Linked DNA regions of Sus scrofa. The protein of the gene in region 1 binds, or shares a complex with, the protein of each later gene. Links are inferred from orthologs where the notes say so. Each region holds a gene or a part of one and is shown on either strand. Other genes may lie near its edges. The genes, in order: COQ7 and COQ4.

Region 1 (4,568 bases):
GTTGATCATAAACTATTAAATTCCTGCACTGTATTAAAGTAATTTGAAAACAATTAGCAACTTCAATTACTTTACAATGGCAGTGTATGTTAAATGTGGGGATTTTTTGGCCCCACCCATGCCCAAGGCATGCAGAAATTCCTGAGCTAGGGATGGCATCCACACTACAGCAGTCGGCAGTGACAACATGGATCCTTGAACCACTAAGCCACTTGGGAACGCCTTAAATGTTTTGCAATAACTTGGATAAAAGATACATATAATCCAAAGGTGTAAAGTAGAACATGAAAGCCCCCTTCTCACCTCCAACCCTCTGAAGTTACCATTACTGGACATTTTGTTATACATCCTTCCAGATGTGCATCTTTGATTTTTTTTGGCCCTCATACAGATTACACATTCAAAAAATTATTTCTGTTCAATAGAGTTGTAGAAGGAGGATTGCTATATCAATGGATATGCATTTATTAAAATGTCCACCAAAATTTTTTCTTAGTTTATTTTCTTAGAGCAGTTTTAGGTTCACAGCAAAAGTGAGGAAAGTAGATTTCCTATATACCCTCTGCTGCCACATTCCCCCAGAGTGCTACGGTTTGTTACAATTGATGAGTCTACATTAACAGACCGGATATAGTTTTGATTTCAGTTCCAGAGCAGGAGTTGAATCCTGGGCCGCAGTGGTGAGAGCCAGGAGTCCCAACAACTAGACCACCAGGGAACTGGTGAATAACTTTTAGAAGTGTGAAATACGTGGAGTTCTTGCTGTGGCTCAACGGTATTGATATCTGCAGTGCCAGGACTCAGGTTCAATCCCCAGCCTGGCATAGTGGGTTAAAGGACCTGGCATTACCACAGCTGCAACAAAGGTCGCCACTGCCACCCGGATCTGATCGCTGGCCCGGGAGCGCTAATATACTGTGTGGCGGCCAAAAGAAAAAAAAAAAAATTATGAAATACGTTGCTAAATCTCACCTCCCCAGCCCTCTCGTCAAGAAACCAATTTGCATCAATACGTTCACACTAACAGTAAAGTGGATATAATAATATTAATAATGTTCTTTGTAGAAAATTTAAAAAATAGAGAAAAGGGCTAAGAAGAAATTTAAAATCGTCTGTCAACCCCCAAAATACCTGGAGATACCATGCAGTGAACTGAATTCCAGAATGTAATTTCTGGAAGTGGATAAAGGCTACAAATAGAGAAAAGTCTCCTATGCTGGTAAAGCATAAAATATGATGGCTATGCCAGTAAATAATTCCCTCACGGTCCTCTTTCCCAGGAACGGAGGTTAGGTAGTAATCCTGTCGCTATCTTCTAAAGAACAATTTAGCGTTCTCATCTCCATGGCAACCCTTCACCGGGCTCCTGAGTGATTGATAATGGTCAGATCCAATAGGATCTTTCCATTTGACACTCCCAACCAATCGAGTGGAAGCTGGGCGCTTAGGGGCGTTTCCACCTACGCAGAGGCGGGCTGCATCTGCCTTACGCCAGCTGTACGTCATCAGTCAGTGCCGAGGGCAAGTTGGGCTCACTATTCAAGGAGTGGGTACCCTGTTGCGGGGCCATGAGCTACGCCGGGGCAGTGGCGGCTCGCTGCTTGTGGCTTCCGCGCACGGGGGCCCCGCGGCCCCTTTCAGGTAAAGTGTGAGAGCGATGGCTGCCCCGCGCTGGGCTGGCGAGCAATGAACTTTTCTCCTGAGGTTTGGGTCGGAGAGGTCACGGCGTAGACGTTTATACGTCACGGGACTGCGACCGAGCGCGAGCGGAAAAGCAGGGCTAGGCTTGTAATGTGTCGCCGGCCCGCTGGGCGGGAAGAGAGTGGTTTTCTGATGTGACGCTCTGTGGTGCCGGTTCCGGGTTAGCGGGTTGGGGGAATGACCTAATTGCACACCTGTTCTCTGACGTCACTGCAGGTGTGGTCGGCGTTCCAGGCTGAGCAAAGTTGGCGACCTTGAAAATTTAGCGTCCCATGGGTGGGTGTATTCCCATAATCCGCAGCGTCGGCTTCTTCCCAGCTCCCCAAGGGAGCTTGGTAGAAATGCGGTTTCTCAGGTCCCTCGCCTGACCTACTGAGTCGCCATGTCTGTATTTTAACTAGCCCTTCGAATGCTTCGTATGCATTTGCATATTTTGAGAAGCACGAAATTGGTGGAGCATCGAGAGAGACTTGGGCTTGGATCCTGGCTCCTCTCCTCATTTCGTCCCAGCGGCCTCAAAATTGTGAGGTCGTTTTCTGGAAGTTAAGTCATTCGTCTACCACCTTCAGGATGGTTGCATTATCGCAGTACCACTTGTATTTTTTATCACTTTTTAAAAAATTAAACCGTGTTCTGTTTTTAAATTAAATGATTTCACGGAAACCCTATCTTTACGGTAAGCGGAGAACCAGGATCGCACGTCCCAAGTAAAGTACTTGTAAAAAAAATAAATACGCTGAACACAAGTTGTTGTATTAGATACTGCTGCCTACCAAGGCTTGAACCTGTCTTTCTGGTAAGAATGGGAGGTTAACAAGCGTTAGGAAGTGTTCAAGTTATGTCACCTTTACAGCCTCGTTGATGAAAGCAAAAGGATTGGAAGAGAATAACTAAATAACATGAGTGTTATTTAATGCATGTGCATAGCCACTTAAGATCGTCCCATAAACCATTTGAAGTCACACATCGTTGATATGTGTTTCACATTTTGGGAAAACACGAATATAAAATGATGCATTTGAGAGCTTCTAGCAGTGAGCCTCAGTTTTATTTTTAAGTGTGTGAGTGCAGGCAAAACCCAGAGGATTGTTGAACATGAATTTTAATGCTCTGTTGTTGAGCCAATGACAGAATTCTTCTTCTTTTTTTCCATTTTTAAAAGTATTGATTTATAATGTTGTGATTCTTTTTCATTTATAAAGCTACTTTGCTTCCTGTATCTCATTTTGTCTCCATGATAACTCAGTAAGAAAGGTTTTATTATTGTGTTTTCCCTTAAAAAGAAAATAACCTGATTGGTCCTAATTTTATATGTAAGAAATGGCAATTCCAAATTGTCTAAGGTCTGTGTTAGAGATAGGATATGTATTTTCTGTTTTTTTTAATTTGAAATTTTTAAAATTGGAAGTTTAGTTGGTTTACAGCGTTGTGTTAGTTTCCGGTGTACAGCAAAGCGATTCAATTTGCTGTATATCTGAAATTAACACAACGCTGTAAACCAACTATATCTTATACACGTATCTATATTTCAGATTCTTTTCCCTTATAGGTTATTACAAAATATTGAATATAGTTCCCTGTGCTATACAGTAGGTTATCATTGGTTATCTGTCTTATATATACTAGAGTGTATATGTTAATCCCAAACTCCCAATTTATCCCTCCCCCAGCCCCTTTCCCCTTTGGTAACTATAGGTTTGTTTTCTGTCTGTGAGTCTGTTTCTTAAATAAGTTCATTTGTGTCACATTTTAGATTTTGTATGTAAGTGCAAGCATATGATCTGCCTCTCTTTCTGACTTCACTTACATGATAATCTCTAAATCCATTCATGTTGCTGCAAATGGCATTATTTCACTTTTTAATGGCTGAGTAATATTCCATGGTATATATGTACTACATCTTTATCTATTCCTCTGGCAATGGACATTGAGTTTTTTCATGTCTCAGCTGTTGAAAATAGTGCTGCTATGAACATAGAGGTGCATGTGCATGTATGTGTGTATGTTTATATATATGTATGTATATATTTTGTCTTTTTAGGGCCACACCTGTGGTATATGGAACTTCCCAGGCTAGGGGTCTAATTGGGGCTGCAGCTGCCGGCCTACACCACATCCACAGCAATGCCAGATATGAGCTGCATCTGCAACCTGCACTGCAGCTCATGAGTACCACCGGATCCTTAACCCACTGAGTGAGGCCAGGGATCGAACCCACATCTTCATGGTTACTAGTTGGCTTCATTACCGCTGAGCCGTGATGGGGACTCCCACATGCATCTTTTTGGATTAGAGTTTTGGTGGACATTTTAATAAATGCATATCCATTGATATAGCAATCCTCCTTCTACAACTCTATTGAACAGAAATAATTTTTTGAATGTGTAATCTGTATGAGGGCCAAAAAAAATCAAAGATGCACATCTGGAAGGATGTATAACAAAATGTCCAGTAATGGTAACTTCAGAGGGTTGGAGGTGAGAAGGGGGCTTTCATGTTCTACTTTACACCTTTGGATTATATGTATCTTTTATCCAAGTTATTGCAAAACATTTAAGGCGTTCCCAAGTGGCTTAGTGGTTCAAGGATCCATGTTGTCACTGCCGACTGCTGTAGTGTGGATGCCATCCCTAGCTCAGGAATTTCTGCATGCCTTGGGCATGGGTGGGGCCAAAAAATCCCCACATTTAACATACACTGCCATTGTAAAGTAATTGAAGTTTCTGGAGTTCCCATCGTGGTGCAGCAGAAACAAATCTGACTAGGAACCATGAGGATGTGGGTTCAATCCCTGGCCTCGCTCAGTGGGTTAAGGATCCGGCGTTGCTGTGGCTGTGGTGTAGGCCGGCAGCTGGAGCTCTGATTAG
Region 2 (3,814 bases), on another chromosome or scaffold:
GCGGTTGGGAAGAGGGTCCAAGAAAGAGCAGAAGGAAATACGGGCTGGAAAGGGCAGCTCGGGTCAGAATGCAGAGGATCCCAAAAGCCATGGGGAGGAGCCCAGGCCTTAGGGAACCAGTGAGGGCTTCAGAGCTTGGAGCTAATAACCAGGACACGGCAGGGAGCCCTGCTGTTAGGATGTAGCTACGGCCACGTAGGAGCCAGAGAGGCAGTGAGGATGCAGGGCAGAGGCACCCAGGTATTCAGGTAAAGCAAGAAACGGGGCACCGAGCCTGCTAATGGGTGGGTGGCTGAGACAGGTGAGCCCTGCCCTGGCCCTGCAGACAGACCCGGGAGCAGGCTAGCTGGAGCGCCCCACCCCGACCCGGATCCCCGCCACGGCTGGCACTCACCCGGGATGTTGGTGGGCATCCCCAGCAGAGTGTGGACCATGTCGTGCACTTCCCGGTACCGCTGGATCACGTACGCCAGCTCCTCGTCATCCACGAATCGCGTCGGTGCTCGGGTGTCTGGGGAGACCCTCTGACAACCATGAACCTCTCCTAGACCCCTTCTGGATGGTTCCCAGCATCCAACTGCCAGCCTCTCCTGGACCCTCTCACCCATGCCTACCAAATGCACATGGAACCCACCAAAAATCCCTGGAAACTCTTTCTGTCCACACATGCGGATGGGTGTATTCTCAGGCAGGAAGATGGTGAACTGGCATCCCCCCCACCCCGCCCCCAACTCACATATGATGTACACTGGCAATCTATGGCAAAGAAACCTCTGCGAGGGGGGGAGAGAGGGAATTATTTAATGGTATAGAATTTCAGTTTTATAAGATGAAAAGGCTCTGGAGACTGGTTTCACAGCAATGTGCTGTGTTAAGTAAGCTTAACCCTCCCGAACTGCCCATTTAGAAGTGGTTAAGATAGTAACCACTTTTAAAAACCCCAGTTAGAAATAAAACGGGGAACTTCCCTGATGACCTAGCCGGTTAAAGATCTGGTGTCGTTACTGCTTTTGCTTGGGTTGCTGCTATGGTGTGGATTCAATCCCTGGTCCAGGAACTTCTGCATGCCCGTGTATAGACCAAAATTAATAATAATAATAATAATAATGATAATAATAATAATAATGAAACAAAACTGATCAATAAAAAAGAAAATAAATTAAATTGGGGGAAAAAAAGGAGCACCCAAGGCCCCTAATTCTTTCTTCTTTTTAGGGCCACACCCACTGCATATGTAATTTCTCAGGCTAGGGGTCCAATCAGAGCTATAGCTGCCGGCCTACGCCACAGCCACAGCCACACAGGACCCAAGCCGCATCTGCGACCTACACCACAGCTCATGGCAACATCAGATCCTTAACCCACTGAGTGAGGCCAGGGATCGAACCCGTGTCCTCATGGACACTAGTCGGATTTGTTAACTGCTGAGCCACAACAGGAACTCCGCCCCTAATTCTTCAGATGAGCTGCTCCTTCCCAGCACCCTTATCTTCACCTTGACCATGCCTATCTTATCCTTTATGACCGGGCTGACGTGTCCCCTCTGCAGGGAGGCTGTCCCACCTTCAGACAGACCAGGTCCATGTTACGGTCCCTGCTGGCATCCTGTACTTTGTGTGGTGTTCAAGGCGATTGCATTGTGAGGTTTAGCACACGTGGCTGTCAGTGTCTCTCCTGCAGCCCTGCACTGTCCAGCAGCCCATCACGGCAGCCACTGAGGCTTAAAACAGCACAAATGCCAATTGAGGTGTGGTCTACATGTAAAATAATACACTGGATTTCGAAGACTTGGTATGGATAGAGCTATTGTGAAACCTTGGTAATTTAAAAACATTGGGGAGTTCCTGCTGTGGTACAGCTGGTTAAGGACCCCACATTGTCTCTGCAGTGGCTGGCGTCACTGCTGAGGTGCAGGTTTGACCCCTGTCCTGGTGCAGTGGGTTAAGGATTCACCGTTGCCAGATCTTTGGCTCAGATTTGATCCCTGGGTGCAGGAACTTCCATGTACTGTGGGGGCAGCTGGAAAAAAAAAACTGATTACAGGTTGAAATGATATTTAGTACATTGATTGGGTTAAACAAACTGTGTTACTAAAATTGTTTCTTTTTGCTTTTATTAAAGTGGCTAGCAGCCGATTTTAAACTACCTCTGAGGCTTGGATGCTACTGCAATGAACACTATGGCAGCAGCCTGTCAGAAGCACAGGACCAGGCTGACTGTTTTGCCCACTGTTGTATCTGAAGGGCCTTGGTGAATAAACACCTCTTTTTTTTAATGGCTGACAAGTGCCCATTGATCGAGGCCAGGGATTGAACCCGAAATCTCATAGCTCCTAGTCGGATTCATTTCTACTGCACCACGACGGGAACTCCCAGGGACTGAATGTGAGCCATAGATTTGACCTATGCCGCAGCTGCTGCAATGCTGTAACCTTTAATCCACTGTGCTGGGCTGGACCAAACCCACATCTTCACAACCTCCAGAGCTGCTGCAGTCAGGTTCTTAACCCACTGCCCACAGCAGGAACTCCTAAACATCTTTTTTTGTTTTGTTTGTTTTTGGAAGTTCCTGGGCCAGGGCCCGAACCTGTGCCACAGTAGTGACTGGAGCTGCTACAGTGACAATGCCAGATCCTTAACTCACTAAGCCACAAGAGAACTCCCATTATCCATCTATCTTTCTTTCCCTTGTTCTTTCTTTTTCTTGTTTTTTCTTTTTTTTTTTTTTTTTTGCTTTTTAGGGCCTTGCCTGAGGCACATGGGAATTCCCAGACTAGGGGTTGAATCACAGCCACGTCTGCAACCTACACGACAGCTCACGGCAACACCAGACCCTTAACCCACTGAGTGAGGCCAGGGATCGAACCTGCGTCCTCAGGGATACTAGTCGGATTGTTTCTGCTGCACCGCAACAGGAACTCCCCCATCACCTTGTAACTGCATGTGTAAACGGCGAGCAACCAATGCTTTTCTGACCCCAGGCAGGGACGACAACAGTCTTCCTCCTACCCACCCACCGCCTCTCTGAGTCTCAGAAGACCCCTGCAGAGTCGGGACAGCCTGGTTTTCCTACTGCTAAAGCCCAGCCTCAGCCTGTCCAAGGCCAAGGGATTTGATGCTTTTATTGTTTGGGGCTGCTGGCTCGTGCCATGGTCTGTGTGTGACGTTACTGGGTCCCTGGTCCCAATTTCCTCTACAGAGTTCTACCTGCTGTGAAGCTGAAGGTGATCAGTGATGGCCGACACTTCCCAAGTCCCTGCTCTGTGCCAGAATGAAGTCCTTTACACATATTGGCATCTTGCATCTTTCACCATCGAGGGGTAGATACTGTTAAGACCCTCAGGGACCAATCAGAAAAATGAGGCTCAGAGAGATAAGGCAGTGTACCCAAGATCGGACTCTGAGACAAGCCTGCTGAATCCCAAAGCCAGCAGCCTTAACATCCATTAGTCATCAGCCAGATAAGTGCCTGGGAAGATAAACATTAGGTTTCCTAATCTCAGAGAAGGGGTCTGAGGCTCAGAGGTCAAATGATTTGCCCAGGGCATTAAAGCTGGGGAGAGAGGCAGATCCTAACTCAGCCTTTTTTTTTTTTTCCTTTATAGGGCCATATGGAAGTTCCCAGGCGTGGGGTTGAATCAGAGCTGCAGGCCTGTACCACGGCCACAGCAATGGCAGATCCGAGCCACATCTGCGACCTACACGGCAGTCTGCAGCACCATCGGATCCTTAATCCACTGAGCGAGGCCAGAGATCAAACCTGCGTCCTCATGGATTCGAGTCGGGTTTGTTACTGCTGAGCCATGGGGGCTCCT

Evidence for each region.
Region 2: COQ7 (region 1) and COQ4 share a complex: the UniProt entries of both Homo sapiens proteins name them as parts of the multi-subunit COQ enzyme complex. The link is inferred for Sus scrofa from reciprocal best matches to the Homo sapiens genes COQ7 and COQ4.

What each region holds. Positions count from the first base shown.
Region 1 is NC_010445.4:26,364,503-26,369,070, forward strand, and holds the start of COQ7 (5-demethoxyubiquinone hydroxylase, mitochondrial), read left to right. Parts: upstream 1-1,503; 5' UTR 1,504-1,568; coding exon 1,569-1,641; intron 1,642-1,753; exon of another isoform or gene 1,754-1,973; coding exon of another isoform or gene 1,974-1,977; intron 1,978-2,352; exon of another isoform or gene 2,353-2,377; intron 2,378-4,568. UniProt on the Homo sapiens protein: Catalyzes the hydroxylation of the 5-methoxy-2-methyl-3-(all-trans-polyprenyl)benzoquinone at the C6 position and participates in the biosynthesis of ubiquinone.
Region 2 is NC_010443.5:268,762,936-268,766,749, reverse strand, and holds part of COQ4 (ubiquinone biosynthesis protein COQ4 homolog, mitochondrial), read right to left. Parts: intron 525-3,814; coding exon 395-524; intron 1-394. UniProt on the Homo sapiens protein: Lyase that catalyzes the C1-decarboxylation of 4-hydroxy-3-methoxy-5-(all-trans-decaprenyl)benzoic acid into 2-methoxy-6-(all-trans-decaprenyl)phenol during ubiquinone biosynthesis.